4 linked regions of the Yarrowia lipolytica genome follow. The protein of the gene in region 4 binds, or shares a complex with, the protein of the main gene of each other region. Links are inferred from orthologs where the notes say so. Each region holds a gene or a part of one and is shown on either strand. Other genes may lie near its edges. The genes, in order: YALI1_D35907g, YALI1_B16584g, YALI1_E16023g and YALI1_E17760g.

What was found.
Region 1: YALI1_E17760g (region 4) and YALI1_D35907g share a complex: the UniProt entries of both Saccharomyces cerevisiae proteins name them as parts of the nuA4 histone acetyltransferase complex. The link is inferred for Yarrowia lipolytica from reciprocal best matches to the Saccharomyces cerevisiae genes YNG2 and EAF1.
Region 2: the proteins of YALI1_E17760g (region 4) and YALI1_B16584g are in contact, whole or in part, in a crystal structure (PDB 5J9Q), measured with the Saccharomyces cerevisiae proteins. The link is inferred for Yarrowia lipolytica from reciprocal best matches to the Saccharomyces cerevisiae genes YNG2 and EPL1. Residues at the interface, in NP_011958.1 of Saccharomyces cerevisiae: Asp2, Pro3, Ser4, Leu5, Val6, Leu7, Glu8, Thr10, Ile11, Val14, Asn16, Ser19, Glu20, Phe21, Tyr23, Leu24, Leu25, Glu26, Glu27, Ile28, Lys39, Tyr42, Glu46, His50, Ile53, Arg54, Gly57, Ser58, Ile59, Pro60; in NP_116629.1 of Saccharomyces cerevisiae: Thr144, Thr145, Ser146, Tyr147, Ile148, Lys149, Phe150, Ser151, Ala152, Asp156, Asp231, Leu234, Gln237, Leu238, Ile242, Phe249, Ile250, Thr251, Gln252, Phe253, Arg318, Arg321, Ile326, Asp327, Ile328, Asn330, Ser331, Arg333, Leu334, Arg335.
Region 3: the proteins of YALI1_E17760g (region 4) and YALI1_E16023g are in contact, whole or in part, in a crystal structure (PDB 5J9T), measured with the Saccharomyces cerevisiae proteins. The link is inferred for Yarrowia lipolytica from reciprocal best matches to the Saccharomyces cerevisiae genes YNG2 and EAF6. Residues at the interface, in NP_011958.1 of Saccharomyces cerevisiae: Ile11, Val14, Leu17, Pro18, Phe21, Arg22, Leu25, Ile28, Gly29, Asp32, Leu33, Ile36, Lys40; in NP_012615.3 of Saccharomyces cerevisiae: Ile69, Ile70, Gly72, Phe73, Asp74, Asp92, Ile94, Phe95, Leu97, Ser98, Ser99, Ala100, Thr101, Lys104.

What each region holds. Positions count from the first base shown.
Region 1 is NC_090773.1:3,584,747-3,593,613, reverse strand, and holds YALI1_D35907g (uncharacterized protein), read left to right. Parts: upstream 1-3,012; coding exon 3,013-6,060; downstream 6,061-8,867. Other genes in the region: YALI1_D35945g (uncharacterized protein), read left to right, coding at 1-460; YALI1_D35911g (uncharacterized protein), read right to left, coding at 750-2,585; YALI1_D35870g (uncharacterized protein), read right to left, coding at 6,100-6,660; YALI1_D35852g (uncharacterized protein), read right to left, coding at 7,701-8,435. UniProt on the Saccharomyces cerevisiae protein: Component of the NuA4 histone acetyltransferase complex which is involved in transcriptional activation of selected genes principally by acetylation of nucleosomal histone H4 and H2A. The NuA4 complex is also involved in DNA repair.
Region 2 is NC_090771.1:1,655,205-1,663,423, forward strand, and holds YALI1_B16584g (uncharacterized protein), read left to right. Parts: upstream 1-3,210; coding exon 3,211-5,730; downstream 5,731-8,219. Other genes in the region: YALI1_B16566g (uncharacterized protein), read right to left, coding at 1,284-1,473, 1,520-1,641; YALI1_B16572g (uncharacterized protein), read right to left, coding at 1,734-2,068, 2,121-2,163; YALI1_B16578g (uncharacterized protein), read right to left, coding at 2,281-2,681, 2,728-2,989, 3,058-3,153.
Region 3 is NC_090774.1:1,599,170-1,605,031, forward strand, and holds YALI1_E16023g (uncharacterized protein), read right to left. Parts: upstream 3,145-5,862; coding exon 2,737-3,144; downstream 1-2,736. Other genes in the region: YALI1_E16002g (uncharacterized protein), read left to right, coding at 1,025-2,320; YALI1_E16026g (uncharacterized protein), read left to right, coding at 3,444-5,675. UniProt on the Saccharomyces cerevisiae protein: Component of the NuA4 histone acetyltransferase complex which is involved in transcriptional activation of selected genes principally by acetylation of nucleosomal histone H4 and H2A. The NuA4 complex is also involved in DNA repair.
Region 4 is NC_090774.1:1,771,920-1,778,527, forward strand, and holds YALI1_E17760g (uncharacterized protein), read left to right. Parts: upstream 1-4,129; coding exon 4,130-5,065; downstream 5,066-6,608. Other genes in the region: YALI1_E17754g (uncharacterized protein), read right to left, coding at 1,975-3,498; YALI1_E17773g (uncharacterized protein), read left to right, coding at 5,376-5,879. UniProt on the Saccharomyces cerevisiae protein: Component of the NuA4 histone acetyltransferase complex which is involved in transcriptional activation of selected genes principally by acetylation of nucleosomal histone H4 and H2A. The NuA4 complex is also involved in DNA repair.

The sequences.
Region 1 (8,867 bases), on a different chromosome or scaffold from region 4:
CGCCAACCTTCTGGCCTACGAGCGAACTCCTTGGACCGACGAGTTCCTCAACGAGGTTACTCCTCCTTCTGAGTTCAAGCTGCCCGATACAGAGGGCACCGGCATGAAGTGGCAGTGGGTCGATCCTACTTGGCGATTGGACTGTACCAACGATGGCGCCCTGGTCATTATTGGCAACAAGGCTTTGAGCACGCCCGATCCTTCTCCCTCCGAGGGATGGATCTACTATGACAACACATGGAAGCGACCTACTGCAGACGACTCTTTTAGCAAGTACACCCGACGACGACGATGGGTGCGAACTGCTGAGCTCATCACCGTCACCAAGCCCACTGATGTGGTGGTCACTGTCGAGGAGGATGGTGTGACTGACGCTGCTGGAGATGTGGAGATCATCACCACCGAGACCGAGGAGAAGGTGCGAAGACGAAAGGGCATTAGATTCGAGGAGGACTCTTAAGAGATAATTAAATATATGAATGTATCATTTTTTTACGCGATTGCGTGTAAGAGAGGCGGCTATATGAGCTTGTTCACGTAATTCAAGGGTGTGTCTGTGTGTACTGTATACAATTACCGCCGTCTGCAGTAGGTATTGTATGCGCACACACACAGTAACGGTATGTGTACAGTGGCTACTTACTTGTACAGTACTTATACTTGTACAAGCGCCACATTAGTAGAATAATTCGTGCTTAGAACTACGTGTACTATTTTTCTTCTTTTTTGATTTTTTTTTGTTATTTGATTTAGATATGGGACCAAGGATCGATGGCAATGACGGTTCCGAATTTCTCGTTGCCAATGAAAAAAACCTTGTATTCATAGCCCCACTCGTCCAGCCAGGCCTTCACCTCCTTGGTCAACATGTCTGTTTTGGAAACAACATGGTAACCCACACCAGAGATCGCATACACCAGCTTTTTATTCTTTCTGTACTGCTCCTCGACTCCCAGAAGAATGTTCTCCAGATGCATGACACTGGTATCAAGCTCAAGCCCATGAAGGTCACAGAAGATCTCTCCAAGGTCATCTCGGTAATTGTAGAGAATGTCAGAGGCCTTTCTACTGGCTGCAATGAGTTCCTGCTGGTGCTTCTGACCCTTGTTAGAGTATATCTTGGCAGCATCAGGTCGGTTCATATGCCAGTTATCGGCAGAAAGGTTGAGATACTTGTTTCGCATCTCAATATGCTTTCTGCTCTCCTTTCGAAGCTGCAGGTACTCCTGAATAGGTTCGTCCAGCTGGTGAGGGTTCTCGACCCAGGGAGTGAATTCTGGTCGAAGAAGAGTCAGAGGGTTGTGTTTTTGCACAGCCATGCGAGCTGCCGGTCCTTTGGCAGGCGAAATTTTGGCAGGTGTGAAACTAGGTGCGGTAGGAGTGAAACTAGGTGCTGTAGGAGTGAATGCCTTAGGCACAAAAGAAGGGACACCAGCAGTACCAGGCACAAAAGATTCAGTAGGCTTCACCTTGCTGAAATCAAACCTCTTCTTGGGCTTCTCAGCAACAGTTTGTGTGTCATTAGAACTGGCCACAGCTGCCCATTTGCTACCTGGCTTCTCCCTTTTTTTGGACTTTGTGTCACTAGCTGTTCCACTTGCTCCTCCCAGAGTGGGGAAATCTTCCAAGGAGTCAAGCATGGGCTTGGAGAAGTTCTCCAGAGGCTTTGTGGGCTCTGGAGTAGACTCGGTCTCTGGAAAGGAATGCAGGAAGGCACAAGTCTCGCCATTCAAGCACGCGCCACGGACCCAAAATCGACACACACGTGATGTCAGATCATGGGAATATCTGCAATCTGCCCGCAAACACTCTCCAAACTGCACAAAGTACTTACAGAGAACCTTCTCCTCTCTTCCTGGCAACAGAGCCAGTGCCGCATAGACCTCTTTCTCGTCCTCATCGTACTCTTCCTCGTACATGCTGGGGTCCTCGTAGTTGTTGTAGCCGCTGTAATCGTGTACTTCCTGATGATGTTCCATCTCGTAAACCTGAGCGGCCTGCTCCTCTTCCTCCACATGCTCAGAACCTGAACGGTCGTCGTACTTTTGTAGCACCACAATAACCACATTGATGTCGTAGTTGTGCTTCTCCAGTGTGTTCTGGATCAGTTCATCGGAGTAATTGCCTCCAAGCACGGCTCTAAGAAGATCAAAAGGTGCCAGATCGGTCTCTCCATGCCCCACATGACCTTCACTGTCAGGCACATAATCTTCCCAGTAGACCTCCTCCTCGTCCTCAGGCAGCTTATCCCGTAAGGGAACGGCCTTGCCTCGCTTCTTGTAGTCGTCCACAACTTTGGACCAGTCGATTTCTGGAAGCACCTCTGGGATTTTGACCCAGTCGATGCTCTTGGACTTGTCGACACCCACAATCCGCACATCTCCATGACCATTGCGGTGACGTGTGACCGAGCCCTCCTTCTCACGATGTTTCCACATGAGATCCAGCACCATGCTCTCCCGTTCGCTAGAAGACATTTCTCCATGATGTTTCACCACGAGCTCTTCCAAAAGCTCGATCTTGTCCTCCTCCAGGACACTGTCATCATCTAGAATCGCATCTGCCTCCCTTGACAACTCGTCCATAATGTTGCGAGATAACGGCTGTCAAATTATAGGCTTGCTTCTCTTTGCCACAGGCGATATTCCATCCACAAATTCAGTCTATCCAGACCAGCCGTTGTAAATTATTTGAATCTTAAACTGGTGGACGAGATTGATGTGCATTGGGGCTGTCAGACGACGTCCATTAATAAGCAGCAGCTTGAAGAAGGATGGGTGAGCAACTTGTCAGATATGTGATTAATGATCGTCTAAATAAAAAATATGCCTTATTATTGTGAACGTAAGTGCCATGTCTGGCTATAACTTCCAGTTTCAGCAATTTACCATTGCTTTGCTAAAATAGACAATCCTAAAAATCGAACTGAGAACAACGTGTACATTTTTTCGCCCATCACGTGAATTACATCACCATAACTCCCGCGTATTCACTCTCTCAGCGTCAACCAGCATGATGGACCCGCGGCAAGAGACGTGCGGAGACATTGTGTCGACGCGTAAACGTCGGCTTGAAGAGCTATACTACGTCTCCTTGCACCCTCGGTACCCCCAAGGTCTGGATGCCAAACAGAAACTGAAGCAGTTCCAGGACCAGTTCGACCTGACACAAAACCGACTTTTCGACGAAAACAAATTACCAAAGGCGGTCGAAGAGCCCAAGCCAGTGCCGACCCTTCAAACCTCGACACCTGATGCAGGCTCTTCTCCAGAGTTGAAGCGACGACGTACGTCTAGTATTGCGCAACTGTCACCTACATTCTCACGCACATCACTCAAAACAAACGAGCAGCAACTGCAGGAAATGCTGCTGTTTCTGGTGCCCAGCAACATCCCCGAACCCACCACAGAAACTAAGTCGCTCGCTGAGCTATACTACACCACACAGACCCTACCACTGTCCAAGCTTATTCCGTCGGCGCACAAAACACTTACCACAGACTCCTACCATCTGGCGTTGCTGGAGGGCAAGCTTGCAGTAGCACATGCTCGTATAGAGGAGCTGAAGCGGGCAGGGAAATGGGGCCCCAGGCAGCCAAAGCGGTTCCAGGACCCTATCCGACGGAAAACACACTGGGACCATGTGTTAGATGAAATGGAGTGGATGTCTACGGATTTCCGGGAGGAGAGAAAATTCAAGCAGGCGATGGCTTGTGAAATTGCCTTTTCCGTGCTGGAGTACCACAAGTACGGTAAGGAAGCTTGTTGTGTGAAGACGAAGCCTATCAAGTTCCTACCAGAGGAAATTAACGAGTCTGAAGATACAGAGAGCAAGATGGACATTGATACAAGCATGCCACCACCAAGTATCAACCCTGTTGAGGTGACAAACATCTCAGCAGCGGATTCTGTCACTGTTGTTGACTACGATACTCTCCTCTCACAACCCAGGACACTGTCATCGACTGAGGAGTCTGAAGACAAGCCGGAAGAGCCTTCTACAGACAGTGAAGAGGTCGTCGGTGGGGAGGTGCCCAAGCGACCTGCTGCTCCTAAACTTCCTGAGAGCTCTCCGTTCAAGCTGTACGCCTCAGTGGACAAGCTGGACCCTCTATCCAAGGCTCTCTTTGACAACCTCCCTGTCACTACACCTCCTGGTTCTGCCGTTAATGCTCTACAGGTTCCCTACAGCGATCCTCTGGACAACTCAAAACTCGCACCTGTCACGCATCTTCTAGCGGCTCCCCCGGAGCAAGATGATTGGTGGTCGGTATGTCTTGAAGACTCTCCTGCCGATGAGGACACTCTCCCTCTACGATCTAACACTCGTTCTACACTGTTCAATTCGGAGACCATGCGCCGACATGTCGTCATTAAGGCGCCGCAGCCTCCACAGACCAAGTACCTCGACTTCCGAACGCCAACAATGTGGTTATTGGCTGATGATTCACAGCTTCTTCGACTGGTCAAGGAGTATTCCTACAACTGGGACATTGTGTCTGCCCACATGCTGCCCCAAAAAACTTACGGCTTCACAGCTAACATTGAGAGACGTACGTCATGGCAGTGCTTCGAGCGTTGGTTCCAGCTCAATCCGACGTTTTCTCTGACGGATTTGCGTGGTCCCTACGCTCAGGCTGCCCAGCAATGGATGGCCGCTGCTGCCAAAGCCCAGGCTCAGTCCAAGCGTCGCATCTCGCCTCTTGGTGTGTCGAATGAGTCTATCCAGAGAGGTCACCGGAAGCTGCGATGGGCTTCCATGTTTGACGGTATTCGAAAGAGCATGCGAAAACGAGAAACTACCCCCCGACCTAACCCTCAGCCGCCTCGAAAGTCGCAGCTATCCGAGTCCAACAAGAAAGATATTGCTTCGCCTCTGGATCTGTGCAAGATGAAGTTTGAGCAGGATAAGAATCTCGCAAAGGCTTACGCTCAGCAGCGGATGATGCCTGGTCAGATGCCTGGTCAGATGCCCCCGGTACCTTCTAACATTCCTGCTAACCGTCAGTTCCCCGGTCAACGACCTCCTCCTCCTCAGACCGCGGCTCAAATTCAGGCACACACGCAGGCACAGGCTCGAGCTGCTGCTGCCGCCTCTGGACATATGCAGCAGCGTATGGCTGGTGTGGGCATGAACAGAATGCCTGGCCAGATGAACGACCAGCACCAGATGATGCAGTTTGATCGACAGCGGCAGCTCATGGAGCAGCAGAAGATGCTGCAACAACAGCAGCAGCAGCAGTTTATGCGAACCCAGGGGCAGGTGCCTCCTCAGCCAGGCCAGGTGCAGGGACAGGTGAACCAGAACGTCCAGGGCGCTCAGGTGGCTGCCGGTCAGGCTGGTATGGCTCAGAGACCGGCCGGCCAGATACCTCAGGGCCAGATGCCTGCTCAACAGGGACAGGTTCCTCCTGGCCAAGCTGGAAATCAGGCCCAGATGATGCGTCCCAACATGCGAATGCGACCCGGAGGTCCCCAGGCAGCTGCCCCCAACGAGCATCTGAATGCTCTAATTCGCCAGTTGCAGAACCAAAACCCTGCTTTGTCTCTGGAGGCCGCCACCAAGCTGGCGCATGTGCAGGTGCAGCGGTTTGTCCAGAAGCAGCAGCGAGTAGCTCGTCAGGCTCAGGGACAGACTCCTCCTCAGGGACAGATGCGTCCTGGACAGCCCCAGGGACAACCCTCTCCTCAGATGCGTTCGGGTTCTTCGACTCCCATGAACATGCAATCGCCACAACTGATGAACGTACAGCTCCAACAGCAACAGCAGCAACGGTCTGCTTCACCAGGTCAGAGCCCCGCCCAGCAGCACGCCATGCTTATGCGAATGAACCAGCAGCAGCAGCAGCAGCAGCAGCAGCACAGCAGAACCAGGGACAGACCCAGGGACAAAACCAAGGACAAGGTCCATCCGAGTAAGATGGCCGTCCGATTATTTATGTATACAGATAATATTATTGAACTCTACAGTACTTGTAGCTACTGTACTTTTACAACACTTCGTCATGTAAAAGTAGCTTTCTCTCTGCTACTATCTCGTAACCATATCCTCATTCCGTAACTCCATTGTCTATAATATATGTTCAAACCCGCGCACTGGTTACTTCTTCTCTCCGCCAATCAGCCCATTGACTCCACTCTTGAGAGAGTCCCAAGCACTGTTGACGGCCTTGCCGAAATGTTCGCTTGACTCGTCGACGGCAGATGTGAATCGCTTGTTGGCAGAATCAAGATCAGATTGGGCATGGGAGGCACCCTCCTTGAAGTTGTCCCAGGTGCCGTGGGGCTGTCCCTTGCTGTCAAAGGTGTCTCGGATCTTCTCGTTCTCGTGCTCGGTGTTCTTCTCAACCTTGTTGAACTCGTTCTTGACGTCCTTGTTGAAGTCTTCGGCCTTGTCGTGGACTCCGTGGGTCCACTTTTCGTTAGCATCCTTGAGCTTCTCGCCCTCTTGGTGGGCTTTCTTGTCAAAATCGCCGGAGAAGGTGTCGTGAATCTTCTCGTTCTCCTTGCCGAGATTCTTCTGGGCGTCCGAGGCGCCTTCCTTGAGCTCATCCCAGCCCTTCTTGACGTCATCTCCGAGGCTCTCAGAGCCCTTCTTGAAGTCATCGCCAGCCTTGGAGGCGTCCTTCTTGATGGTGTTATCGACGTGGTCAGCAGACATTGTGTGTGTGTTTGTGTTGGTGTATGTGTGTGTGTGGAGTGAAGTTACGAAGATGGGCACGCTATATATACCTATGCTGCCTCATCCCTATCTCCGGTCTCCATGCTCCGAATGATTTACAGATCACTTGATGATTCTGAAACAACGTGATATTAAGCTATCAATGCATTTTCATGCTTACAGGCCTTGTCTATGATTGCTATCTGTATGCGGTATGCAGAGGAGGCATTTTCAGTGTAAGACACGTTGTTATCCTTCTGCGCGATAAATCCTAGCTCGAGCGCTGAATTGGGATTGTCTGGAGACGTCTGTACACGTAAGATGAAGCCCTCGAAAGATGGAGGCGTGCCTGTGTCAATTAGCGTCCTTCTGCGAGATTTACTTTTGTCGTACATTCACATTTTAACCTCTGCTGCCTTGCATGGCCACGCATCCGATGACGTTGGCGCGCGTGGTGCAACTGAGTGGTATTGTCGCATATGCCGAGAGCCCCGTAAAAAGATGGGAGAGCCAGTGGTTTTTGTTCGGCAATACTTTTGCGAGGCTTGAGTGCATACGAGGTCATTAGATCAGGCACGTTCCGAAAATAGACCATGGAGTGCCTGTGATTTAATGGCTATCACACTCCGATTCAAGCCTCTTAATTGAGTCTACCAAGGTGCTAGCACAAGTACAACTGAAGTAAAATGATGCAAGTTGAAAATGACCCTTGGGCGTGTTAATGGGCCACTGTTCCATAATAGGTAAGAACTATATATATATTATATTATTATAAAATAATCAGCTCATATAACGATGAGGTCCTCGCCACCCATTCCATGACATTCTCGCTTAGCGCTGTGTGTGCGCTTAGTGGAAGTCTAATTGCGAGTGGTGTAACCGATAAAGTTCACACCACACACTTCCAACATCAAACTCAATTACACAATCACACCGACACAACACAATATCCACACGACATCCCTTCCTGATTCCACATATTGTCACTTCATTAGGGGTATTAATTAATTATGATCATTATATAAGAAAACAAGACATGCTTAGAAAAGCATGGCGACGGCAACAGCACCGGCAACAGCAGAGACACCAAGGGTGGCAGCGCCGTTGGCCTGGGCGGGAGGAGCAGAGGCCTTGGGGGCCTGGGCAGGGCCGGTGGAGTGGGGAGCCTGGATCTGGCCATCATTGATCTGGGAGACAATGGCACCGGCAGTGGCGTGGGCACCAGCAGCGGCCTCGGACTTGGGGGCGGCAACAGCAGAAGAAGCCTTGGAAGCAGCAGCAGAAGAAGCAGCGTGAGAAGCAGAGGCGGCAGCGGAAGAGGCGGCATGGGAAGCAGCGGAGGAAGAGGTGGGAGCAGCGGCGGAAGAAGAGCCACCTTCGAAGACAGCTCGAGCGGCAAAGCCGAGACCTCCAGACTTGCAGAACTGGTTGTTGACAATGTCGTAACCGTTCTTGCCGTTGGGGCAGGCAGTGAAGTCAAAGTTGGGGACGTAGAGATGGTTGTCACCGTTGACAATGATGTCCTTGGAGGCCTGACCGTCGGTGGCCACAATGGTGGCGTTGTCACCGAACTGGACGGGCTTACCGTTGGCGTACAGAGATCGGCCAATCACCTCGTAGGTGGTGGGGGTGTTGCCGTTGAGGACAAGGGACTTGCCATCGGAGGTGATGGCGTCGTTCTGGATGTCGGAGCCAGATCGGATGGCAACGAGAGAGAACTTCTGGGCGGAGACGAGGCCGGCGGCAGCGGCAAGAAGAACGGCGGAGAACTGCATAGTTAGAGAAGGAACGAGTGTATTTGTTGCGGGAAAAGAGGGACACAGACGAGGACACGGTGGATATATATACAATTATGACGACTTTCCACCCCCCCAACTCCACCATTTTTAACGTTCACAACATCAGGTATAGAATACGCCTGTACCGTGTAGGGATAGAGTTACAGTCGGTCTACTTGTACTGTACTGTAGTCATCATTACAAGGTACAAGAGGTACATACTGTGTACTCGTACATACATAGATGAGGCCCCCTGTTCAGTGATTTCCTCTTATACAATCAAAGTGTTGGGAGTGAGAACTGGAACGAAGAAATGTGCTTTGGATTTCTACTGCATCTTCAATACTGGTACCTCCAGGGCTCACCATGTATCATGAGAGGTTCTGATGTTCTTACTGAGACCCCCACTAACCAAATTTAGAGTCCAAG
Region 2 (8,219 bases), on a different chromosome or scaffold from region 4:
ACAAGAGTTAATCTTCCTGTCTCAGGCAGACAGGTCAGGCAGGGTTACTTTTGGGTGTGCTGTAACTCACTGTATGGCCGTTAGTGCGCATAGACGTTGTACATACTGGACCGAATTGTAGCGTGCTCAATAGGGCCAATAAAGCTATTGTAGCTCAATGTTGAGGTCGTGGTCGAATTGAATTATTCGCCACTATTGGTCTAATTTATTGTAGGGTGGGTTATACCATACCCCATAGCATGAAATGTCCAGTTATCCAGGCCCAATTTTTCTGTGCATATTTTCGATTCAAAGTTGGCCCAATTTTTTCCGGTCATACAGTTCAATTTGTCACAAAGCGTACTGTACTTACAGCGATGATCCCGCCATTAACACTGACCGTTCGCAGCATACATTAGATAGCGGGTACAGCACATACCTGTACGAGTACAGTACGAGTACGAGTATGTACTATTGTACTATGTTACCCGACCATGCTTTGTATGATACCGTACATACTGGATTCGACATACTGCAAGTGCTTACCATCATCACATAACAAGGACATCCGCATCTGCTCAACGGGCTTTTATTATTTTTGGTTATACTGTAAAAGAGGAGGTTGATCTGGGAGGAAGAACTGAGATCAACATTTTTGCATATTAACCAGATTACGCCATATACGAGATGCATCCTAATTGTCCCTCCAAGCTCCCCTCTAAGATTCCTCTACGCTCCCACATGTGCTGACGACTGGACCAATGGTCCTGTCGTATGGTTTCTCTGGAAACACAGTCACGAGTAGCCTGGTTTGGGACCATGTCATGAGGCTTATTTCCACATGGGGACTGATTTCGAGCTAGTCGTGTGTGAATGGCTCTGTCTCGTTTGTTTTTCGTCATTACCGAGTGTGTCTCCATCCCGTATGTCTCATCCCTATCAACACTTCTCGATGCTTCAGTTGTCTACTCTTCTATACGATACTATACATACGCTCTACCGTTGGAACTGCTCACTCCCACCCAACAAAAGTGCCTACAATCCTGCTGTAACTAACGCTTCCTGTCCACCTGATAATGTTACAATATTAAGTTGCATTCAAAGCCAAATCAGAAGGAGCGGAAACCAAGCCGGGTTACAGTCCCATCGTACAAGACCTGTATCCAGACTCACCACAGAAGGCAGCTGTCACAACTCACACACCCAGCATTTTTCATCTCTGACTGCCAACTAACCACACGCTCGGTGCCATCTTTGAGAGCATCCCTACGGCTTTTCTACATCTGAAACCCCAGCCTCTGTTTTTACACCCTCGAACAGCCGCATGCTATAACCAACCCAGGCTCCAAACATGGGTTCTTCAGCCCTCCGGAGCGAGACAACAGTGAGTATTTTTGCGTGTACAAGATTGTGGTCTCAGTTTGGTTGCTCGTGAGGTATTTGCGGCTCTTCTTCAGCCTTATGGAGCCTTTCGCAGGGCTGAAATTAACCCAACTGAGAGCTCCCTTCCTGAAACGGTGGTACCTGTAGTTGAGATGACTGAAAATAAAAAAAGACGGTGAGCGAATGGCACAGCTTGACTCTTACTGCGCTTTTCACGGCATCAAAAAAATTCAGGAGTCCTTTTTGCCCCATTTTCCTACCCATAAGACTTAGTGTCATCAGGTCCCGACTGACTGGCTCTTGCACCGTGCACTCTCAATGCACTTTTACTTTCACTTCTCTTCTCACTCTTCTACCCCACACACCACACATCAGAATGTCCACCAAAAGATAACTAACCAGCGATAAAAACGGCCACACCGCTCAGTGTGTGCTGCCCAAAGTGAGTCTACAACCCCCGTGTGTTTTCGTCCCCTCTCCACCATTCTCTGATGTAACTGGAACCTGGCAATTTTACCTACAAAGGTGGCCAAATCGGAGCGAGAAAAAGTACCGCAAAAGTGATGGAATTCCTGCTTGCTTTGACATGGCAGAGTCCCCACAATCCGGTGGACTTGGCTTTGTGCCAATTCGCACCGCTGGCGTCTCCTTGGGGTACTGTCTGGGGGTCCCGGTATGGGCACCCGGTCAGTGTGGCGCTGAGGGACTCACGTTTCGGTCACGAGCACCTCTTCGACTCCACAGTGGCCCCGAGACACTCAGTACGACGCACTCCTGAGGTCCTGTGCCCGACTGGCCCATTTCCGACCTCTTGACTTCCACCTGATCAACCCACCACACTGGCGCTATTTCCACCCATCCTCAGAACGCTGGCCGAATTGGGAGCGCCGGGTTAGGGCTTTGGGTTTGACGAGGGGACTACGAGTATGAGTATGGGATGCCAAACTGCCAGATAATATCTGGGATTTTGGTGTGTGCTGGGAGTTTCGTTAGAGTTTGTTCGTTGGGAGGAAGTAAAAGCCTATTCTGGGTCGGGAAACCAAACACACCACACCCCCCTTGCAACTCTTTGTGGAGGCTGCTGTCAATCAACATTACACACACACACACACACGAGACACACGGCACACTGTGCACGACATAACACAACACAACACCGACGACGGCAACGACACCAAGTGGGCACCACACAACAACATCGTTACCGACATCTGAGAAAGACGACTTGCACAGACAACGACCCACTGAGCATTGAAATCTCACCCGCGGCGAACTATTTGATTTTATTTGCGCCAACAGCCTTGTTACGAACCAGCTGACTGACGTTCGATTGCGACACGTAACCCCCTTCGGTGGCAAATTAACCCCCTCTTTTTGGCTTTACGACCAGCTCTCCTGTGCTTAGACTCGGGCAGGTTCTGACGTAACAAGTCCCAACAATCATATACCCTAGCCCTAGATTTCCTATTGCGGGGTAAGAGTTGTCCCAGTGGCAACAACGGGCCAATAAGGAGCGGCGACGAAATGTGCAAATTTTTCTAGGCGGATTATCACCAGAAATTATCGACGAGACTGCGAGGAGGAGGAGTGGAGCGGACGAAAAAACGACAGCAAGCAAGAGCAGACACTACTGTAAGACACCGGCCCTGACCAGACCTCTTTTCAGCGCTCTTTTTGCCCCCATTTTCGGCCTACTTTCCCTGCTCTTTTATTTTTAAAACTTCGCAGACACCGTGACACGCGCATTTTTTTACAGGGGAGGATTAACAGGGCGACACTAAAAAAAGACATCACCAACAACACACACAGCAACCACGCTTAAAGCGTTCCCATACGACTCCACCAAGAATGGCCAAGGCAGCCAAGGCGGCCGGTTCGTCGGCACGCTTCCGCCAGCGGAAAATCAGCGTCAAGCAGACGCTGGCGGTACTCAAGCAGTCTGACATCCCAGACCTTGAGGAGGAGCAGCAGCGCGAGCTGCAACAGATTGAGACGGGAGTGGAGAAGGGCGAGGAGGAGGAGCACCATCTGCAGGCGGCCATCAACTCATCGATAGCCCAGAGCACCGGCGCAAAGGTGGAGAAAATCTACATTCCCACCCCAGATGCGTCGCAGGTGTGGAAGGAGTATGACCGGTTCTACTCTTCGTCGTTTCATGAGCCCGCCAGTTACATCCGGACGAGTGTGACGGTCGAAGAGACCTCCGGATGTCTCTACAACATGGATGATGAAGATGCAGAGTTTCTCAAGACGTGCAAGCCGCCAATATCGGAAGACGACTTCGAGGAGGTGATGCACAGATTCGAGGTGACCATCAGCGAAAAACAACCGTTTGTGTCCATCGACGTGTCGAACCTTCTGTCGTTTGAGGAGATGGCCCAGCACATTGAAGATGGTATTCGGCAGGTTCAGGAGGACCCAACGTCGCCGGAATACATTTTGGCGCAGTTGCAGTCTTCTCTAGGCATCACTGTGAATGGTACTAAGGGTAAGAATGAGGGTAAGGCGTTTCTGGCAACGTTCAAGAAGATCGGCGCTGTCATCTATCCACACTGGCGAGCACGCAAGGTGGAACGCAAAGGCCAGTCCATTGTGCCCCACCTAAAATTTGAGGATCATGAGAAGGACGACAGTGACCCATATGTGTGTTTCCGACGCCGAGAGTTGCGGCAGGTGCGAAAGACTCGTCGTACGGACGTGTTGAGCATCGAGCGACTACGGCGCATGCAGGCAGAGATGGAAACCGCCAAGCAGCTGGTGGAGATGGTTGCCACGCGAGAATTTACTCGCAAGGCTGCTCTCAAGGCTGAATGGGATGTGTTCGAGGACAGATGCGCCATCAAGACTCTCAAGCGAGAGTTGGGCATCAAAGGTGAGGATGAGGATCTGGTGGCTCAAAAGAAGCGAAAGGTGGAGCCCAAGAAGGAGGAAAAAGCGGAGAAGGCATCTACTCCTGTTCGAGGAGGCAAGGCCGCTGGCTCTGCTGCTTCTGCCCAGGCCGCTGCTGCACAGGCTGCTGCTGCAGGCTCGGGTTCGCCTTCCGTGTCTTCCACACATGTGCCACCAAATGTGTCCATTCCACCGTCCAAGATCCCCAACATGGACCTCATCACTATTGCCCAAGTTGTGCGAGACAAGGACGAGGCGATTGCAAAGGCGGTGCGCGAGAAGCTACGACTTCGAGCAGATGCAGACCGCGACTGGCACAATCTCACAAACTCGGGCTACATTCCTTACTGCGAGTACTTGAACGCTGAGGTATCTTCTTCTGGTGAGCCTCCTGTGCCTCAGTACTCGTCTATCAATGAGATGGCTTACTTTGAGAAGCACAACGCCAGCCACCGGTACACCACCAAGAGCGACTTCAACAAGGATCTCGCCAGTATGGTTGGCAACAAGCCCTTTGCAGATGCTCAGGTGTATGGTGCTATTGTGGGAGATGATGGGGAGTTGCGATTATCAGATGCAACATCTACTTCGTCACCTGTGGACCGTGTTATTCCCCGGTCTTCTTTTATGTCCATGCGAAAGCGTGTTGGTCGAGGAGGACGGATGTGGATGGACCGGCGAGGCCTGCAGCGCAACACTGTGCTCAAGCCCAGCAGTCTGGCCAAAAACTCCCTGGACGACACTGCCGAGAGTGAGGCAGACGAGGTTGCCATGGAGCGACTGGCAGACCGGCAAAAGTACGATCGAGAGACAGAGCCGACGCGGCAAATGTCCAGCTACGACAAGGACCCGTCTCAGCTGAATGGCATTTCGTCGGACACACAGTCAATTCGGTTTGGCTCCATGCTGCTGTCCAAGGCCTACGAGAACTACCGCGAGGTGTTCCAGCAGCGCCAGCAGCAGTTGATGATGCTACAGCAGCAGATTCTTCAGCAGCAGCAACAGCAACAGATGCGAAACCGGCAACAATCTCACCCCCCGGGCGACCCAGGGGCCGGTCTAGGAGGTGGTCAAGGAGCCGGAGGAGGAGCTGGCGGCAGTCGCAACAACAGTCCTGCTCCCGGTACTAATGGCCCTCAGTCCAAGATGCACAATGCCGCTCCCATGGGCTACAACAAGCAAGGTATGACGCCCAGCCAACATCAACAATATCAACAGATGCAGCAACAACAACAGCAGCAGCAACAGCAGCAACAACAGCGTAAAATGGGAGTCGCTCCTATGAATGCAGCTTCCGCGGCTGCAGCGATGGCCGCTCAACCTCGGCGATCTAGTGGCAGTCCTGATGGTCAACGATTCAACGGACTGCCCAACGGAGGGGCCATGGCCAATGGGGTTCTTCCGAATGGCATGAGTCAGCGGATGATGCCTGGAGGAGACATGAAGCAGAAATCTGAGTTGGCAAAGGTGGATGCGTAAAGAGAAGACTGTATATAGTAATGATGATTTATGAGCACCCATGGTGTATTCTTATTTGATATTGTAGTGGATTTACTGGTGAGGCGAGCATGTGCTGTATCACTGTATGCACATGTCCTGGAGATTTGGTTTCATTGTACTTGTATTTCGACCGGGGAGCATTGTGTTTGAAGTTAGGGGGGGGTTTTATTGTATTGTGGCAGCTGCTGATAACGACGACATTTGTAATCTGTCAACTTTGTTATCAATCTGCACTGTGACTGCAATATGACAGACGTGCAGGGCAAGCTTTGTGTTGATGTCACTCACTCTGGTTTGAATTTGATTGAAGAGATATCGAAAAACGCATATCTGAGCCGACTTGATTTGGCGATTCGTTTTATGTATTGAACTATAGAGACCGCTAATTATGAGCCAAGATGCTTGTTTCAGATTCCACCCTGCCTTGATTTGGGGCTATTTTGGCAAGGGTAGAGTGGTCGTACAAGTACTTGTACTCGTAGTCTAATGTAAGGTGTTCTACCTGTAGCTAAGTACTTATACTAGCTATTGCGTAATGGCTCGATGTGATTAGATCTCGCTAATACAACTACATTCGTACATCATCACTGTATGTATCGTGCCGGACTGTTTTAGACCGCTCCATTGACTTCACCTTGTTCACAAAATAGCGCTGTTTGACGCACGCTACGGGACGATACTAAGCTATTGTATGTCTACATACCCGAGTTTGGTGCCAGTAGGCCCCTCTGCTTGTCTTTGTCGCCGTTAGTGCATCTGCTCATCAGCTCAACAGTCTACCGTGTCTATCATGTATCAGTCATGGTATTGTGCAACGTCTTTCTCAAATGAGCTTTCGAGAGCAGCGAGTAGGGGAAACAAGCTCAAGAAAGGTTCACTACAGATTTGCTCACAGAGCGTCTTCTTTCTTCGACAGGTGCTTGTGCTCTCCAGCGGAGATTTACTTAGTCTGGCCTTACTTTCTGTAGCTTTTGCATGTAGAAATAAATCACATGTTTTTTTCTGTCGTTCCGTCAAGGTCAATGTGTCTGACAGCTGTCGTATCACAGGGTTTAGTATGAAATTTCCGAAAGAGGGAAATACGAGACTGACGATATATGCCACCGCCTACGCTGTCTACAGTATGTGTACACCGTTTCAGCGAGCCCGACCGTGCCCGGCAGGTGAGCCCGGTCAAAAGCAACGATCTATGCTGCAAAAAGAAATCATGTCTCAGGCCTACTTATGTGGGTATGAGCATGAGCATGAGAGCCGGTATTCGAGTAGGTACAAGTACGTATTCGTACAAGTAGCTACGGTACATCGGCAGATCGGAGTGCGAGGAAAGTAACTCGTAATTAAAACTCTCATTGAAGGAGGGAAGGGGGCTTGGTGTCAGCTATCTACAGATGATCACTTGGTTTCTAATGACAGTTGATGCCATCGCACTTCTACGGTACAGTTGTAAGAACAAGTACCCGGCACCTACGGAAATATTCATCAGCTGTCTTATTTGTGCTTCAAACAATGGCTGCTTTTGGTTGTCCAGTTGGTTGCTACATTGCCCAGGTACCAGTGCGCGTCTCGCAATAGAAAGGACGGGTAGTCTTTTCCTCCGACTGGCAACCTGACGATCTGTCTTGGCCGCTGGGTCTGGAATGTGTCTTGCGTGCCTTCTTTTTCTTCTTTTTCTTCCGTTACCTTGACTCTAATTGCTGGTTAAGTAGAGTAAAGCCAAACGTCTCTTGGCCCTGCTGCACGAGTGGTGCACCAGTGCTAGTCCTTCTTTCCATGGAATGTAGTTACCCTTGTAAATCACTTGAAGAGATCAGACGCACAGGGATCATCCGACAGGTAGCCGGGGAACGCTTCGTCAGATGAGATACTTGTAGGTCTCACCACAGGGGTAAGCACATCACTTTGGTGGTCAAGAGACAACGTTATTGGGCTGGCCGGCAGTCAGGGGTACATGAAACAAGTGACACCCAGACGGCATGTGCAGAATGTGCGTGGAGTGGTATATACGAGTGGTGAAGGGACCCCCCACGGTTTGACATGACTTGGGGTGGGCAAGCCACAGACAGGTGCTGCTGATCTGGGACTCCGTAGTTGGAGTTGGAAAGCTCAGCTGCGTGTCGCAGTAAAACACGGCTAATGGCGGCGCACGGTTGCTCGGAGAATCTTGCTCAATAAAGGAACAGTGTCTGACGATCCTTTTAGATGATCTTCAGCCTACGCATACAGGCACACCACAGAGCTAAGAGCTTGCCCCCCGTCCGTGGACATGTGAAACAGGGGGTTTGGTTGGCCCACAGCATACATTAACTCCCAGTAGACTAAATGGATAAAGCTACAAGTAGGTATCGTAGCAGGCCAAGGCTTGCATAATGAAAGAAGAGTTTGCTTTTTCCACTGCAGGTATCCGAGCCCACTAGGGGCGATACTACAGTAGTGGGCAGTGGGTGACTTTGAGTCTAAGAACCGACTCC
Region 3 (5,862 bases), about 170 kb from region 4:
ATTATGATAACGTTGTGTTTGAGAGCACGGAGTGGGGTCCAAGCACGGGCAGAAATGGGCGACAATGAATTTAGACAAATGGGAATATATATTAACAAATAGAAGATGGGGAATATCCGTTGGTAATTGTTTTTTTATAGAATTACTAGGGCGGCCCGTGTCATTTCTCACACCTTTCAATTCTCGATTCCTCGATCTGAACAAAGTTGGCTGCTCGTGTGACCTGATTATGGTACCGTAATGAAGATGTGCGTGTTGAGTTGGATGTTAGTTGAGCCGACAGGTAGGTTCCATGGCTTTATATTTCGAGTTAAAGCGCCTTTAACGGTGACACGAGGGTTGGATTCGCTTTTTTGTCCTACTTTTCATCAGATACCCCCTCTTTCGGCAGCCTCTCAAATCGGCCACACAGCTTGCACGCCGTCAGTATAGCCTACAGTATTGGTGGTGTACTTTAACTAAGTTCAACTAAACTGGATAAAAAAAATACAGTAGTCCCACACCCTTGGAAGTGCTACGCGGCTAACAATGCCTACTCGGAAAATAAGCTTCGACTTATCTCATCTCAGACCGTCAAGAGAGGTGTTCAAAAGCCGCTTCGCAGTAATCAGTTTGCTCGTAAATGGATAAAATCAATCAATATGCCACTTATACTTCAGAGATATTCTTTCCCAACCTTGGCGGCAACCACAGCCACTGCTACAGCCTTCTCAAGCGGTCCGCTTCCCTCTTCGATGTCAAACTATAAACTCCATATTGACTCACTTCTAGCGAGTTGCGAAATACCGCTCTAGCAAGTGCAATTTTCATTTTTTGTCAAAAACCAACAATGAAATCAATTCCAAATGCCCCTTTAACCCCCCTGAACCACTCTCTACTCCCCACTTCCGCTTAACCACCCCAAATCAACCTCCCAAATACCCATTGACTCATTGGCTAATGCACCGTCCAACCTTCGCACGACGCATAAATACTGTAGACCGCTCCACAACCATCACCACCCACTATTCACCCGTCCGTTGCGATGCAAGTGCGACATTTCTCCTCGTGTCGAATCGTCCAGGCCGGCAAAGAGCGGTTTGTGCCCTCCTCGGGAACCTACCCCAAGGGGTTCAAGGTCGGCGGCTTTTTCACCGGCGTGAAGAAAAATGCCTTCAACATGGATCTGGCCATGCTGTCGTCCGATAAGCCCTGCAACGCCGCGGCCGTGTTCACCACCAACGTGTTCAAGGCCGCTCCTGTGCAGGTGGACCGAAAGATCCTCGACGTAACCCAGGGTAAGGGAATCAAGACCGTGGTGGTCAACTCAGGATGCGCCAACGCCGTGACTGGAGAGGGAGGTATCCATGATGCCCAGCAGATGGTCAAGAAAGCCGACCAGGTCTTTGGATCCGAGAGCGACCTACCTGCCTCGCTTGTCATGTCCACTGGAGTCATTGGACAGCGATTGAAGATTGACAAGATTCTCAAGGGAATCGAAGAGCACGCCCCTGCCATGAAGGACGACCATGAGGCCTGGCTCAACACCGCCAAGGGAATCTGTACCACCGATACTTTTCCCAAGCTCATGTCTCAGCAGTTCAAGATTGGAGATAATACTTACACTATTGCTGGTCTGACCAAGGGAGCCGGTATGATTCACCCTCGAATGGCCACTCTTTTGGGTTTCTTTGCTACTGACGCTCCCGTGTCTGCCTCTGCTCTCGGAGTTGCTCTCAAGCATGCCGCTGACCGATCTTTCAATGCTATCTCTGTCGACGGAGACACTTCCACTAACGATACCATTGTCTGTCTGGCCAACGGAGCCGCTGGAGGTCCCGAAATCACCGAGACCTCTGCCTCCTTTCCTGTTTTCCAGGACATCCTCACTGACTTCTCTTCTCGACTCTCCCAGCTCGTTGTCAGGGACGGAGAGGGAGCCACCAAGTTTGTCAAGATTTCTGTGAACGACGCTGTTTCCGAGCAGGAGGCTGCCAAGGTGGCCGAGACTGTGGCTTGCTCTCCTCTCGTCAAGACTGCCCTCTACGGCAAGGACGCCAACTGGGGCCGAATCCTGTGTGCCGTTGGATACTCTGGAATGCAGGTCGAGCCCACCAAGACCACTGTTTCTTTCATGCCCACCGACGGCTCTTCCGAGCTCAAGCTGCTGGTCAATGGTGAGCCCGAGCAGGTCGACGAGGCCCGAGCCTCCGAGATTCTCGACATGGAGGACCTGGAGATCCAGATCAACCTCGGCACCGGAGGGGGCAAGAACGCCAACTTCTGGACCTGTGATTTTTCCCACGAGTACGTCACCATTAACGGAGACTACCGAACCTAGAGAGGACTAGAAGCATCCAACAATCATATACATATAAAAACCACTACGATCATAAGCATATGGCCTAGTGTAGTGCAATACACACTCTCAAACGTCTATAGAAGAGCCTGGTTGTGGTCTCTCAGGTGATTCACTTAACTGTCGATGGCCCTCAAGTCTGGCAACCCTCGCCACCATCGTGAGAGACTCCGTTACACTCTACCGACCCTCTATATACTCTACTAGTTCTGTACCTGTTGGGTGCTCGTCCTCACTCCACGTAAATGCAACAGTGTTTTTTGTACAATAATAAATAAATGGTTATACTGAGCGTGACGTCCGCCACCTCAGCCTTTGGTCTCTCTTATAGAGCTCCAAGGGGCCACCCTGCTCGTCCTTCTGCAACAGGTCCAGAATTCGTTTCGCTTGTTCCCGAACTAGTCCACCCTCGACCGCTTACTAGGCTTCTCATCGCCAGACATGGGCGTCGAATCCCCCTTTCTTCTCTTTTGAGAAGCGGTCTTTTTCCTTTCATTCTTGGTTTCGTCCAAGTCACCCCCCGCACCTGTTTTGGCCTGGTGTTTGAGAAAGACCGCCGAGGACAGCGAAAACAGCCGGTCGTCTTCGTTGAACACGTAGCGCTTTTTCGATTGCGCGCCCTTGATGTATGTGTCGAAGCCCTTGACGAGGTTTCCATGGGACGTTTCCTCGAGATATGCGCCTTCCAGGGTGAATATCTGTTCCTCCAGCGAGTTGAGGTTTTTGTCATGTGTTTTTTTCTTGTTGATGTTGTCCTTGAGCTGCTTCTTCAGCTTCTCGTACTGGTTCATTTTCTGGTCGCTCATTGTGGTCGAATACTGAGAGGTTTTCAATATTGGTGGTGATAATTATAATTATCACGATACCCGATTGGAATGGTGCACCACATGTAGTATTTGTTTATTAGAAATTGGTCATTGATTTAGTTAAAAATGTCAAGTAACTCTAATGGCTCAGCAATGCTGACGTTTTCGCCTTTGTACATTTCGGGCTGGCACGAAACGCTAATATTGGGATATCACCACCACACGTCTAGCACGTCTACACCTCCAAACCGCACTACTTGGACCGCCGTACACGCCACACTACACACCGTACGTACACCATGTCGTTCCGGCAACAGTTCCAGCAGGGAGGCAATCCCAATGGACAGATGGGCTTCAACAACATGAACATGAGCCCAAACATGAACAACGCGAAAATCGGAGGCATGGATATGGGAGCGCAGATGGGCCAGATGGGCCAGATGGGCCAGATGCCACAGATGGCTCAGATGGGCCAAATGGGCCAGATGGGAGGCATGCCGCAAATGGGCGGACCCATGGGTGGCCAGATGAACGGCATGAACATGGGTGGCATGTCCGGAGCAGGTGGCATGCCCAATGTCGGAGGGATGCCCAACATGGCAGGAATGCCCAACATGGGTCAGGGTATGAACATGGGCCAAGGAATGAACCCCCAAGTTGGTCGAGGTGGACCCATGGGACCTCAGGGTATGATGGGCCAGCAGGGCATGGGCGGCATGCAGCAGGGTGGCCAGGTGCAGATGGGTGGAGGACCACAGATGCAACCCCCTCAGCGTCAGCCACAGCCACAGCAGCAGCAGCAGCAGCAGCAACAGCAGCAGCAGCATCACCACCAACAACAGCAGCAGCAGGTGCCTATGCCGCAATCGCAGCTCATCCCTCAGCAAGGAGGCATCCCCGTCATGGCTGGAGGTCAACCCCAAAAGAACTTTGATTTCCCCCCACCAGGCCAGACCATGATGCAGCCCGGCCTCACTGTCCCTCCCGTGCAGTCACATCTGGGTCTTGTGAGTTCCGATGACGCCCGACAACAGGAGACACCTCTCGTGAACCCTCCCTCGGCTGCCGAGTCGCTCGCCGAGATGCCCACGCTGTTCAACGGCCAGGGAATTACTGATCTCACAGAGATTATGAAAAACAAACGTGACCCCAAGACCGCCCAAGAACTCAACCTGCGTCGTTTTGTATCCAAGGATCTCAACGAGTCCTCCACGCTGCCCAAAAAGCTCAAGCAGGAGGCCGACAAGCTCAACGCCAAGCGATATGAGATCTCTTTCTACCACTCGTTTGGTCCCATTCGTTCGCAGGAGCCCCAGTCCATTTTTCAAGACGGATACCTCGGCTATGGCAATGGTTGGACAGGTCTCAACACACGGTTCGTGTACCCCCGTGACCGAAAGAAACACAACCGAAACACCCGGGACCTGGTGCTGTCGCGTCAGCAGATGAATCAGCAGGCGGCAGAACCGGAACTGCTGGTGCCCATTCGTCTTGACTTCGATCTCGGACGACTTCGACTTAGAGACACCTTCATGTGGAACCTTAACGAGAAGACATATCCCGTGCACTTTTTCGTGGAGAACATGTTCGAGGACTTCCACTTCCCCCACCAGTACATTCAGTCGGTCACAAACTCCATCACTGAACAGCTGCAGGATTTCCAGCCGCATCAGTACCCCCAGGACCCTCGACACGTGATTGGCAACGGAGATGCGACCCGAAACGAAGACATGCGAGTTGTGGTGCGCCTGGATATCACAGTTGGTCAGCACAATCTAATTGACCAGTTTGAGTGGGACATCAACGATTCTCTCAACTCCCCAGAAGAGTTTGCTGCCACCATGTGTGCCGAGCTGTCTCTGTCTGGAGAGTTTGCTACTGCTATTGCCCATGCCATCCATGAGCAGACACAGGTCTTTTCAAAGTCGCTGTTGCTTCTTGGCCACACCTTTGATCAGCGACCTGTGGACGACGAGGACATTCGACGTGAGATTTGCGCTCCCATACCCGATGGATCCGTCATGAGACCCAAGAACTCGGTCAACGAGTACTCTCCTGCGCTGTTTGAGATTTCTGAGGCCGAGCTGAGTCGCCTGGATAAGGACAAGGACCGAGACTCTCGTCAGAAACGTCGACAGGGACGAGCCGGCAGACGAGGCGCACCTTCTCTGCCCGATTTCAAGAAGGTTGTCCGAACGTTCCGAACTCCCGTTTACTCCGCTGTGCTTCCTGGAGCTGTCGACCGAAAGGTGGAGTTGGCTAAACAGGCACTTCAGGCAGAGGAGGAGGAAGAGGAAGAGGACAGTGATGGAAACGTTGTGGTGCGGCCTGCCAAGCGACAGCGAACCACCGGTAGACATGTTCCAGTGCGAGCTGCTGCTGCTAATGCCGCTGTGGCTGTGGCTGCACAGAGCCAGGAGCTGGAAACCAACTATGTGGAGGAGCTGGCGGATCCTACTTCATTCTGGGTCACTCTGAAGGTGCCCCCACAGCAGCTTGCGCGGCTGATGATGATTCCTCGGTTTGGATAAGGGAGGGTAGAGGGAGTAGCTACCCGCAAAAGAGATTAGCTACAGCTAACTGTATATTAATAGATGTATGAGACAAAGCAGAAGTCTTTGGCTAGTCATGCGCCAGCCAAAGGCTTGTGCTGATGGATAATGAAGGATATGTATCATATATAAGTATTTGATGGTAATTGAGGGTGCAGGTACAAGT
Region 4 (6,608 bases):
ACTGAGCTGAGATTTCTCTGCCCAGACTGCCATGCTACGGTATTTGAACTCGCACTGGAGCTGTAATACACACTGCCCGCAGCATGAGCCTGCCATTCACGTCAAATGTCTCTTTTCTGCGACACAAGCTCCCATGTCTCACACAAGTGTGGGGTGCAGCCCTTGTAATGAATAATAGCTAGGGTACAACCCCCCGATACGATATTACGACGCTGACACCAGAAAAAAAAGTCTCTGGAGCGCCGTGGAAGGCTGGGGATGGATCGTGTCATATCCAGGGCAGCGTTACGGTTTCCCGAGCAGATCGTCGGATTGCCATACGAAGTCCTTCTGTACCCGCGTATGCCGCCTTTTCTTGGTTTTGCTTTCTTGTCTCGATTTTCTTCTTTCGCTTGTCCCCAAAAATAGCCTTCCCAAGAATGCCAAAATTAAAACTCACACGTTAGAGAGGTATTGAACAGGGCAATATAAGACATGGAGGAATGTGGTGTACCGCAAACGGCAGCAGGTATTTGCGCGGAGATTCTGGAGATGGCCGTATATTTTAGATGGTTGGAGGATCTGCCGATCACGTGACTCACTCAGTCATTTGTTGACAGAACGACTACTGTGCACATGTACACTCTCGTACAGTATGTCCAGTGCACTCTATCTCAATGCCACAATTGAACGTCGATCTGGCGGGTCTGGCGAGTAATTAACAGGTACGCTACCAGTAAGCGAAAAGCGGAAGCAAGCCTAACGGTACAGTAATGAAGAAAGTGCAACTGGATATACGGTAAACCTCACCTGATCCGGAAACCACACCGATTGGCACCTACGGTGGCCTGGTACCTACTTCAGTGACAGTCAGTTGCAGTTGAGGATGCAGTTGGCCCTGCACTGGGGGGTTCGCTTATTTCTTGGCAAGAATAATTTAAGAAATAATGAGAAGGCTGAGTATTGTCACTGGTGACACCTGAGAGGTTTATTAGTAATTAACAGGGTCACACGAGCTCTTAATTACGAAACCAATTAGTCGCTCACAATATGGCTGTCTCGGAAGGCCTGAAAATTATGAAACCAAGAAAAATCCACCTCCACGGTCCTATCTGACGCATGAGTTGATATCCAATTGTCCAATACCATACACGACTTTGCGGGGCTTTTGGATCTAATCTCCTCCACCACCCACCCTGAAGTGCTCTCTACTATCTAATTACTCAATATGATCGACAAGAGTGGCCCACGTGGAGTGTGCCTGATCTGCAGTTATTGAACCCTGAGACGGTGGGGTCCGGAGCAAAGCAAACTATCCCGCGCAGTGGCGGAGCGTTTACAGTTGGGCTAGAGATACTTTGGTACCGGATCTCGGAGGCCCCCAACTTCCTGCTTCCTATTCCCGCCAGCTTATCGTACCCCACCTCTGCTCAGCCCACCTAGTTCCGATGCAAGGACGACGATCTATGCACCAAAGTTCCATCGGGCTACAAGAACAAGCAAGACAAATTAAAAAAGACAAAGAAACGGGTGGGGTCAACGGTACGGGAGTGGGGAACACAAACGGGTGGGTCTACGTCGGAGCGTTGTGACATCATGCTTCACGCCAAATCCCCTGCAAGACAACAGCCTTCTGTGACAGACATGCGGCGGGATTACTGTAACACTTAGTTGCGGGTACTGTAGGAAAGCCAAGTATCCGAATCCGTACTTGTCGCCTTGGCCATATATCATTATAGTCCAATTCCTATGCACAAAGCTCTCTCTCTGTCTACAATTCACACACAAAATCACAGTATTGTACAGGTATACAACCTTCTTCATTATCTACATATCGTCGTTCGACGGGACTCCTCTCACTCAAGGTGAGGGTCTCACAGTGTGAAACGGATTTGACTAGGTCAAGTACAAGAGTCTGGCGGTGCTGGGCTTTGCATGTCTCTGTCTGTGGCTGTGTCTGTGTGCGCAGTGCAATGAAGTGCATCTTCATCGCCTCTACTCACCCTTCTGCTGTCCAGCCCAGATCTCCTCGGCCTCGACAATACACCGGTTGTTTGCCATCATCTTGTTGATAGTCTCGACATATTCGTCGTACTCGTCAGAATCGAAGACAATGCCTCCTCCGGCCTGCAGGTACGCAACACCGTCCTTGAGAAGCATAGTTCGAAGAGCAATGCAAGTGTCCATGGCCTCTCCGTTGTAGCCGAAAGATCCAACGGCACCGGCGTAGACACCTCGCTTCTCCTTCTCAAGCTCTCCAACCAGCTCCATGGCCTTGACCTTGGGGGCACCAGAAACGGTTCCGGCAGGGAAAATGGATCGGAAGGCGTCGAATCGGGTCTGGTCGGGTCGCAGAACACCAGACACCTGGGAAACGAGATGCTGGACGTGCGAGAAGGTTTCGACACCCAAAAGCCGATCGACGGAAGTGGATCGAGGATCACATACTCGGTTGACATCGTTTCGGGCCAAATCGACCAGCATGACGTGCTCAGCTCGGTCCTTCTCAGAGTTGAGAAGCTCCTGAGCCAGCTGGTTATCCTCGGCAGGAGTAGCTCCCCGCTTAACCGTTCCAGCAATGGGATGAGACACAATTCGGCCGTTCTCAATCTTGACGAGCAGCTCAGGAGAAGCACCAACAAGCTGGAAATCAAGATAGTCAATGTAGAACAGGTAGGGAGAGGGGTTGACGGTTCGCAGGTGTCTGTAGACGTTGAAGGGATGCAGGTCGGTGGGCCGAGCTACTCGCTGGGAGGGCACGGCCTGGATGATGTCTCCCTTCTTGATTCGCTCCTTAAGAGTGGTCACGTGCTGTTCGTAACCCTTCTGGCCAATGTTGGAAGTGAAAGTCTTTCCAAGGGTCACGGGTCCCTGGGGGGGCTGGGGAACCTCAGGGGAAGTCAGCAGGTCTGCGATTCGCTGCACCTCCTTCTTGGCGTCCTCGTAGGCCTTGGTGAGATCGGTGTCGGCCTCAACCTTGACATTGGTGATAACCTGGAGTCGCTGGTAGACGTGGTCAAAGGCCACAATGGTGTCGTAGAGCATGAGGGCACTTTCGGGGACCTCCAGGACGTCCTTGAGATCTCGCTTGGTTCGGGGCTCGAAGTACTTGATGCAGTCGTACGAAATGTATCCGATGGCTCCTCCACAAAGAGTGGGGACGCCGGGGGTCTGGAACTGTCGGTACTGGTCGAGTTCAGACTCCAGCAGGTTGAGCGGATCAACGTCAGGTCCATGGGGAGCACCAGTCTTGATCATCTTCCGGGGATTAGATCCAATGAAAGAGTAACGGGACAGATGCTTACCACCGAGGGCAGACTCGAACAGGAACGAGGGACTTCGGTTGGGGTCATCCAGACGAGCCAACTTGAGGTAGGCAGTATGAGGAGTCAGGGCCTCAGCATCCACATAGGCGAAAACGGGATAGAGGTTGTCGGGAAGAGTCTCCTTGGTGGCGGCGGCTCGGTTGTCGGCCACGATGGTCTGAAGAGCCTCTAGAGTGGGTCTGAGTTGGATCATTGTGGAGTAAGTGAAGCCGTTGAGCTGTCGGTGTTACAACGCACGTTTTACTGGTACCGGATGACTCTATGTCGAGGAAAGTTTCATACACACAAATTTCAAATAGGGTTATGGTATGAATCACTAAGCTACTGGTAAGGGGACTGCGGCTATACACTGTTAGTGGAGAGCTAAGGTAGAGGCGTTAGTGGCGCTAGTGGGGGCTCCGTGGGGGGGACTTTGTTGTGTGTGTGAGCTGTTGGTGAGATTCTCCATGATGTCTACTGCTCTGTCTTTTCATTGCAGATGTGGGGTTATGCAAGCGTGGTCACTGGGTGTACTGAAATTGTGTTGATGTAGCATTGTATTGGGGAATTTGCAATACTAGTAGTATCGTCAGTACAAGTGTGTTATGAACTACTATTGGGTAGTCTGGTAACAGTATGTACTGTTGCCCGAAAAAAAACCCTTGGGTTACCCAGTGGTTGTTCATTGTGGTCATGTAATCGTTATTGGGCTGTATTCACCTCTCGTTCGACCTTGCCACATCAGCTCTTCTCCTTTGTATCTTGTAGATGTCATTTTCTCCTCTAAAAAGACAAAAAGTCCAACTAAAACTCTTGGTTTTCTAGTTGGGACAGCTGCATAAAATATGCACTCTGGTTGTGTCACACCAAACATTTATTTACACCACTTTAATCAACCCATCCACTACTCTGCCATCACCCACCCAACAATGGACGCAGCGTCGGTACTCGACCAATACGTCCAGGACCTGGCGAACCTGCCGTCCGAGGTCGCACACATCCTCGAAGAGGTCCGAGACAAGGATCTCAAGTTCTATGAGACCCGCAAGCGCATCCAACAACGCGACAACCAGATTCACAAATTCATCAGAGCAAATGGCTCCCTGGCAGAAAACCCAAAGGAGCAGGCGGCATACCCCAAAATACGCCAGGACTTCCAGACCGCCATGGAGCTTCAGGACGAGAAATGCACTCTGGCAGCACAGGCGCTGACCCTAGTGGCAAAACACGTCAAGAAACTGAATGACGACATCGACAAGCTGGATGCCGAGGGTCTGTTGGGTGGCGCGCCACCACAGAAACCTATTTCAGCCAACAGATCGCGTGCCACGTCATCAGCCACTCCTGCACCGGAACCCCCATCCCGAAACTACACAAGAGACAGAGCCAACAGTCGAAGAGGCGGTTCTCCAGCGGCCAGTCGGTCTTCTACTCCTGGAACACGACCGCCAAAGAAGCGAGCGACTGACAAGAATAACGAGGCTGCATCTATGAGCAAGGAGTCGTCTGTGGGTGCCTCTGAGCAGCTCCGAAACATGCCTGAGACGGTGGCGGTGGGATCTCTGGATGCTGCTATTCGAGCCGGACCTGGGGAAGATGACGAGGTGCTCTACTGTTTCTGTCAGCAGCCGTCATTCGGAGAAATGGTTGCTTGTGATAACGATGACTGTCAGTACGAATGGTTCCATTACGACTGTGTGGGTCTGGCAGAGCCTCCCCAGGGAGTCTGGTTCTGTCCTTCATGCTCCAAGGGACGAAAGGGTGATAAGAAGAAGCGTTAACAGATACAATTCTGGAGTTTGAAACCAGCTTCCCACTGTTCTTCAACGCCTTCTACTGATCTTCCTGAAGCCGAGCCGCAGGGCGCAATTTCCATGTCACGTGCCCCCAAATCACGTGCCCCCAAAAATCGCGTGCGTCGCAGGCTGTATTCCAGGCGTCATGAACGCTGCGATTGAGCACTGTTTCCGGGGCTTGTTTAGTATAATCATAAAGGGAAGGACATGTTGATCGTTTTTGTATGAGCCCCAACAGCGCCCTTACGATGAGATCCTTCCCAAACTTGTAGTAATATATTATTTATTTGTCTCTATGGAGCGGCAACTGTATCAGCTCTTTTCCTCGCCAAAATACTTTTATCTCGCTGTGGTTTCGATTCTCAAGACATCGTCACCCGCCTCGTCCAAGTGTTATCATGGACGTCTTCGACGATCGCTTAACAGTGGTGTTCGGCTCTCGGCATGTCCGAAGAGGAAAGACTGCCCTGGAAATGCGTACAAGATGCGAGGTGACTCCACAAGAGGAAGTCACAGGGTGGAGGGACATAAACAGTGTGGAGCGGCTATACGAGGAATACGAAGAGGCGCGCGCGTCATCGTACTGGCGGGGTGTCTTGTGAGGGTTAAATTTGGTGTCGAAAACAAAACCTCCTTTAGAGACAGGTCTACTGGTGGTTCGCGTTCTTTTTGGTACCTCGCGTTTCACAGCGTTCCGGATATATCCGATTATCTCCGAGCCGAGATCGGGAAGGGTCTCACAAAATATAGGCGAACAACACAAAGAAAAAGAACCCCATCAGAGCACGTGATGCCATAGCATGCTTGTGTGGTCCACGAGGTGAGTGCGATAAGCAGAATTGTCGGCGTGTGCCGTATTAGGTGACTTTGCTTTTTCCGCCGTTTGTTTGTTTGTTCGTGTCTATTGGTTGGTCGACAGAAAACAGAAATAAAAACAAGACCAGTGAGGAGGATCTCCCTGTTGAAGGCCCTACTTGTGCTGTAAAATACTTCAAAAAAAAAAAAAACAGTAGCAGGGGAAACCGGCTCACGTGACAAGGTTAACTAATACCCCTCATTACACCGCGGATGCATGGTGTGGCGCAAACCCGGCGGGGTCCTAGGCAAGATCAGAGGTGGAAATCGGGCATTGGTGAGTAGTAGAGGCGGATTCCGCCGCCAGGCAGCTCGTCGACTGCTGTTCTGCGGTTGGGGCTAGCACCGACGACGGTCACTTGAGTCGCCAATTGGGTTTCTGGAAACCTGGAAAAGGGAATAGAGGCGAAGGCTAAATGCAAAGCCTGCTGACACGACAGTTACCACACACCACACCACAGAAGACTCTACAACAGAAACAAGTGTCAACATCATCTGGCTCGCCTCGCAAATCAGTACGATACAGAGAAAAAAAAAAGAACCTTCGACAGAGAAAAAGACATCCTTGCCTTTTTGCCCCCCTCAGCTTCTTTTCGACACCCCTATTTTTTGCGCCACTTTCTGGTTTTGATTTTTTGATACTCACATTGATTTATCTCTCTGGTATCAACAA